Linked DNA regions of Arabidopsis thaliana. The protein of the gene in region 2 interacts with the protein of the main gene of each other region in a pairwise test. Each region holds a gene or a part of one and is shown on either strand. Other genes may lie near its edges.

The links. The genes of interacting proteins can lie anywhere in the genome.
Region 1: the proteins of AT5G55690 (region 2) and GIS2 interact in a two-hybrid assay, tested with the Arabidopsis thaliana proteins (one large-scale study listed by BioGRID).

What each region holds. Positions count from the first base shown.
Region 1 is NC_003076.8:2,041,278-2,044,720, forward strand, and holds GIS2 (C2H2 and C2HC zinc fingers superfamily protein), read left to right. Parts: upstream 1-2,141; 5' UTR 2,142-2,208; coding exon 2,209-2,784; 3' UTR 2,785-2,923; downstream 2,924-3,443. Other genes in the region: EXT10 (Proline-rich extensin-like family protein), read right to left, coding at 1-651; AT5G06645 (gibberellin-regulated-like protein), read left to right, coding at 1-65. UniProt on the Arabidopsis thaliana protein: Probable transcription factor required for the initiation of inflorescence trichomes in response to gibberellin and cytokinin. Is not involved in the regulation of trichome branching. Is functionally equivalent to ZFP8.
Region 2 is NC_003076.8:22,548,210-22,551,970, forward strand, and holds AT5G55690 (MADS-box transcription factor family protein), read right to left. Parts: upstream 1,886-3,761; 5' UTR 1,862-1,885; intron 1,437-1,861; exon of another isoform or gene 1,435-1,436; 5' UTR 1,415-1,434; coding exon 581-1,414; 3' UTR 498-580; downstream 1-497. Other genes in the region: AT5G55680 (glycine-rich protein), read right to left, coding at 1-152; BAM4 (beta-amylase 4), read left to right, coding at 3,664-3,761.

The DNA.
Region 1 (3,443 bases), about 21 Mb from region 2:
GTAGTACGGTGGGGGTGGAGAACTGTAGACATATGGTGGTGGTGGGGACTTGTACTCTATCTTAGGAGAAGGAGAGTAGTATGGTGGAGGTGGAGAATTGTAGACGTACGGTGGTGGTGGAGACTTGTATTCAACCTTTGGCGAAGGAGAATAGTATGGTGGGGGTGGGGAGCTGTAGACGTATGGTGGTGGAGGAGACTTATAGTCAACCTTCGGAGAAGGAGAATAGTATGGTGGAGGTGGGGAACTGTAGACGTAAGGTGGTGGTGGAGACTTATAATCAACCTTTGGTGAAGGAGAATAGTATGGTGGAGGTGGAGAGTTGTAGACGTTTGGTGGTGGTGGAGACTTATAGTTTACTTTTGGAGAAGGAGAATAGTATGATGGAGGTGGTGGAGAAATATAAACGTATGGTTTTGGATGTGGCGCGTACTTAGGGCTTTTGTGTTCATGGCTGGGAGAATTGTAATGTGGGGTTTGAGGGGATGAGTAAGGAGAGGAGTAAGGGTATGATGTCACTGTAGCCGCAATGGCACTTAGGACCACAACGTAAACCATGCAATGCCCTAACCCCATCGTTCTTGAGGATCTCATCATACCCATCTCTTTATTTTTATTTATTTGTTTTGGTTTTATGTTATACTTGAACATGAATACCATTTATATAGTCTTTTTTTGTGTGTGTAAATATTATACTATCTTCTCAAGTTGGCTTCGTGTGTGGCACTTCCAATTACATTAGAGGACGTGCAATGTTGTTTGTTTGAAATAAAGTAGCAATTCGATCGTGGAGAATATGAAATTTTATTAGATCCTCAATTTTTGAAATATTTGTTCGTTTTCTTTTGTTTGAACTTTGTCAACTCAAATAATTAGAAGAACAAAAGACTATTAATGATTATTTTAGCTATTGAGAAAATTTTTGTTTCATAAATTTTATGTGACAAGGGAAAAAATATTTTATTTCTCTTATGATGAATTAAAAGGCTGTGTATTAACTACTGCTTTTGTTTCTAAAGGATTATTGAAGAATTTTAGGGTATATTAGAGTTGCTTAAGCTGTTCTTCTTCTGTTAAAGCAACTGCATGCGAATCGATCGTGTGAGCAACGTTTGGTTCACGACCATGTTCTTTCCTCATGGGCGACCACTTTCATGATCCATTATAATAAAACAAATATGACGAAGACAAATTAACATAATATATCGTCACTGTTGCAGTTTGTTATGGAGAGTAACATTAATGAATCTGTTTTTAACAAGATCGTACTTCGAGACGAAAAGCAAAATCCAAACACAAAAAAAAGTAATCGCGCAGATGAGGAAACAAAGATGTGACACCACGCAGTTTACCATCTAACTACATTAATTTGAGGGATCCACCTGAAAACTTGTACTATATGTTAATTCATATGCATGGTTGTTTTATTTTACTTTTTGGTCTTGTGGTTAGTATTACCTACTCAAAAATGAGGATTTGATTAGATGAGGCAACATACAATTTGATTAACTACTCAAAAACATGGTTGTTCTAAAACTGACCATAAGGAAGAAAAAAATGTATATATATCACGACAGAGATTTGAAGTTTTGGACTAAAGCCTCACACATAGCCATCAGTGTTATATACTGTATATAAGCTGTCACTATTAAACATAGAAACAGGAACCTTAAAGATACAACTATATACTATCTTGACATCAAATACGTGTACTAAAACCTTTTCATAAAAGATGCATTGACATGACATATCAATGATGGTAGTTCGACGGGTAGAAATCATCAAGGCAAATCCGCATTTGAATTGAATGCTCACTAGATTATCTACAAGGAGACAAACCAATTAGCTCACTAGTTTAGTTCAATTCTTGTCTGGCTAATCCTATCTACATATACAAGACTATAATATAGCAAAATTAGAAAGAATATAGCTAGAAACGGGTAAATATATACTACTTACCAAAAACTAAATGTGCCTGAATAGGTCTATTATAGTTAATAGTTATTCAGTGTAAATTATCTATGTACATACCCCATCGGGAATTAAATGCAAGAAACATAGAGGAGACCGTACTTCGAAGTTGCAAATTTAACACTAAGTTGAAGAATCTAGAAATAGAAAGCCAAAATCTTCCTTTACTTCAACTCTACAATTTCAATCTTTTCTCTGTACTTAGCCATCCAGAGTCATAACCACCACTATATTAAAATGAAGACTTATGATTTCATGAACGTCAACTCTTTCTCTCCTAAGGAAAGACCCATTCGCCTCTTTGGCTTCGAGTTTGGAGCTTCTCATGAAGAATCTGAGTCCAAAGACAATTACAACGAGAACAATGAAAGCATCAAAGACGATAACAAAGAAAAAAGATTCAAGTGCCACTATTGTTTCCGGAACTTCCCTACTTCACAAGCCCTAGGCGGCCATCAAAACGCTCACAAGAGAGAACGTCAACAAACTAAACGCTTCAACCTCCATTCAAACGCAGCCGCTTTCTTCCACCGCCAACAAAACCACATTGCTGCTTCTAGGCTCTACGAGGATCGCTATAGCCTTGAAGCTGTTCAAATCAACGACGCGAGATTAGGGTTATGTCGTATGTATAACTCATCTGCGAGTTTTAATCGTGACCGTTCATCTTATTATAATAGATATATTCCTTGGTTCATCGGTGATCACCAGACTAGACCAACGTATGTCGGTGGTGGTAGCAGCAGCCATGGTCTGTTTTACGAGTCCAAGAAGAATGTACCGGACCACGTGAGTTTGGATCTACGCCTCTAGTTCCATTCTTTTAGTATCTCTCTCTAGCTAGTTCTTAAAAAAAAAAAAAGAGAGACTAGTTTTTTTTCCTTCTTTCAAATACTTTTTATTTTATTTTAGTCTACTTGATTAATTATGAATTTATGATAGTGTATCCCCGTAGATATCATGTTATATTAACAGTTAAACAATTTTATGGAGATGAACTTTAACTTCAGATAGTTTCTTTCTGAGATTTAAAGTCTTAAATATTATCGACGCATTCCAATCTCAGAATAGGTTTATATCTCACATTATAAGTATAGAATTGAGAATGGACCTTAACCCATGAAACTTAACAAAAACAAAATTAACATATGCTAAAATCTTCGGATTGTATTTTAAAATCGCTACTTGAAACTTCAACTTGTATCTAAAAAGGTAAAATTATTAATTGAATAATATAGTGTTTAGAAGCGAAACATTCGTCAATCACATCTAACGACGGTTAAAGTATGTGATTAATTGGGAATATTTAAATGATCGATTTGATAATCAGCAAGACAGCAACCATAAAAGTGGACACTTTAATTTTCGTAAAAAACAATTTGACCTTTTATTTTCTAAAAAAAATATTCAAATATCAAAAAATACGAATTTATTTGTAACATTTTTTTCGATTTTTGTTTTTTAATATTGTT
Region 2 (3,761 bases):
GCTCCAATGATAAGTCCCACCACCTCAATAGAATCGCCTGCCACCACCCCATCAAACCAACCACCAGTCTCCGCCGATGCTCCATATATCGCAGCAACATCGCCAGTAACAACCCCTGATATTCCATCAACTCCAGCGAATACGCCGGACATATTTCCTTACGGACGAGGTCCGGTGAGTAGTTCTGCACCAGCGACGGCGAATCTGGCTCCAGAGACTGCTGAGGTTCCCGCCGGAGCCAAGTCGGCTTCTAAATTCGTTCAACATGATCTCCTATGCATATTTTTGATCTTAGTAGCCACTTTGGTTCTTCCAGCTAACTAGCTTTTTGTCAGACTATAAGAAGACTCTTCAGTATATCTTGTAATTCTAATGAACAAGATACTTACTTGTTTTGTATTGATTACTTTATAGTATATTAATGTTGGTAGATTATATTTGTTAGTACAATATGTTTTCGTAAAAACACCATTTTCTTATTCCATGATATAGCTATGAAAAAAATCAACAAACTTAATAGAAACTTGATAAAAAGAAGTTTATAAAGCAACATTCAAACGGAAGAAACAAATGACATTTCTCACATAGAAAGTTTACTTGAATCCTCCAAATCATTAACTTGTGCAAACCTGAAGGGATAATCTTGGAACTGCTTCACATTGTTGAACATACTGTTTCCTAAACCCCAATGTATTGGCTCCATATAAGCTGTCCTCTGTACCATCGGACCATATGGACCATCCGAACAACTCCCGTAAAACAAGCTTTGCCCGTTCGCTATCATCGGCTCTGTCACATTCGAGAAGGAAGACACTTCCGCAGTATTTGAGGTCATCTGGTTATTAAAAGGGAAGAAAGAGAGCCCGTTGTAATCCATAGTAGGCAGAGGAAACAACTGATACTGCTCAAAACATTGCCGATTGTAACCGCATAAACCAAGTTGGTCATTAGACCAACAACTAGTGTCAGGAAATGTCTGATTCCTATTCGTAGCCTCTTGGATCTTGTTTTCTACTGCCATGAAAACCGCATAGAGGTCATTTAAAGAACACTGGTCGAGCTTTTTGTCCCATGTAGGATACTTTGTCGCAATCGTCGGTTTCTCCACCTTAGTGTTGTTTTTCTCCAAGCATTCTTGCACGGTGTATGTCTTGGTGCAGCTGCTTGACGCAGTGTCTCTGTACTTGGTTAAGATTTCACGGACTTTGCTCCCATCCTTTGGCCATAACTCGGGCTCCATGACCATTTCGTCCCCTGCTCTGCTCGGGCCGTACACAATGACACAAGTGTCCACACCGCAGAGTGTTGAGAACTCACTGGCTTTCTTATACAAACATGCTTTCCTCTTCTTGTAAGTCGTTATCCTCGTTTTCTCGTTCGTTATCCTCGTCATCTTTACCATCTTTCGACCCATCCAGATACCTTTGCTTCAATCTAAAAAGCCATAAAAGAGTAAAACACAACAATAGATCATAATCTTGAAAATTGAAATAGTAATATCATCATTTGGATGTAACGATCAGCTACCAAAACATACAGAAACACTACAAATTTACAACCAAAGCACTAATACTAGTAAACATTTTGTTGTCAATAAAAAATTTGTAACTCATATAGCTTTTAGGTTTACATTTTAACATTTCATAGCAATGTAAGCCTTACAAATGTATAGGGAAGAAAGATTCATATTATTTTATTCTCAATTTTTTCACTAATAAGCATAATCCTTATCGTTTTGTCAAGCTTCCTATGCATAATTCCAAATCCATATACGATTAACACGAATAGTAAAACAGATGGGATATTAACATAAAGTAAATGCAGAGTGATTACTAGAAGAAAAAAAGAATGTATATAATACCTTCTTTAAGAGCTCTACTTTCTGAAGTTTCTTGATTTAACAATGGAGTTCCTCTTTCTGTGTTTATATAAGACACACGCAAAAAAAGAATATATGTTTTTTTTTTTTTTTTTTGTCGTAAAGAATATATGGTTTATTCTCGAATATTGTTTCCTCCCCTAAATTACGGTAGCAATGCTGATATTTTATTTCTTTCCATGTTTTCGAGTAGAATTAAAGAGGACGAAGCTATACAAATCTTTAGTTTCTATGTTCACGCACAAGTGATAAGAGTTCAGTTAAAGGAAAACATTGTAATTACAGCATGATCAAGAAAGAAGATTTTGTTTGTGATTTGTGCCAATTAATTTTCTCAAATATTCCTTTTTTGCTTTAATTGAAAACTTTGTTAATATTCTTACGGAAATTTGGCGCCGGAGGTGGCTGAGGTTCCGTTTGCAAGTTGCAACAATGTTCTTATTGGTCTTCATGGCCACTTTGGTAGTTTGGTTGTATAGAAATTAGAAAAAAGATTAAAGTTTGTTGTCGTAAGTTTGTCACACTTCTGTGATGACTATTTGTACTGATACTCGATAGTTCATTTTAATATAATACTAGGAGACATCGACAAATAATAAATTTGTTTCATAAAATTTTAAACTACTAGTAGCTGTTGGTGTTGATCGATTGATCGGTAATTCATAGCCTTTGAAATATACATTTAACAATTTCACCAATCACCATATGCTCATACGCACTGGTATGTAACTAAAAAATGACTAGAACTTGTAAAATGTCCCATGCAATTATTACTTAGTGCGTATTTTGAAATTTTGTTTTTTTATCCTTTATTATCTTTCACATTCGAATAAATATCAGCTATATGTGATAAACAAAGTTTTGCCACTTGATGAGTAGTACTACGAGACTGAAACGTGACATATCGTGGACCCATGATTTAATTTGATCAAACTATATGACAATGAAGACGGAAATAATAGGTTAACTTAAATATGTGAGACATTTTTCGTATACTATTTATATGCCAAATTCACTACTATAATTGGTAATAGGCAGTGTTGATGGTGGCGAGTAGCATGGGATATGTTCTAATGGGATATTTTACATGCTTATCCACTAAGGGACGATATGTTTCCACGTCAGCAAAATGGTTAATTCCATTTTCTTTGTTAAAAAACCTTATTCAATGGATATTTAATATCATATAAAAAAATTACCATCTAAAAGTACAATTAGTTTGACTATATGCTATTCAAGTCCTCATAGTTTTATTATTCAATTATAAGTCAGTCATAATAGAAATTTAAACTTGTTTCCATGTTACACATTAAACACCAGTTTGAAAAAATCAACTCTGATTTTTATAATAAAATAAATGTAATCTCAATCATCTCCTGAACTTCAACAAGTAAAACGTTAATTAGTTTTGATAATTTCACTGATTTGTTTCATAAAAACACCTATACTCCTATAAATAATTAAATATTGTAGGCACGAGGTATATAGTAGAGAACGAAAGTTGGGGTCAATTATAGAAATATTTAAAACATACGGGCAAAAAATAGAAAATAAAGGCAATAAAGGAAAAAGTATAGGGTCAAGAAGGAATTATAAAGTTGATAATTTTCTTGATTTAAAAATTCAGTATATATATCAGAAAAGCCCCAAATAAATTTTGGGTCGTTAAAAAGAAAAGAAAAAGAGAAATAGAATTTTGCGTTTCAAGTACTCCATCTCCGTCTCTTTTCCTCCGCATCTAAAACCATCTGAGAAATATCTCCGACGAAGGAGAAGAAACGAAAATGACGGAGACTGGAGTAATCGGATGTGGCTGTCGCGGAGTCACCGGCGGCAATTTCTTCCATCCCGGAGGATTTTCTTTGAAATCTTGTTTCCTCGA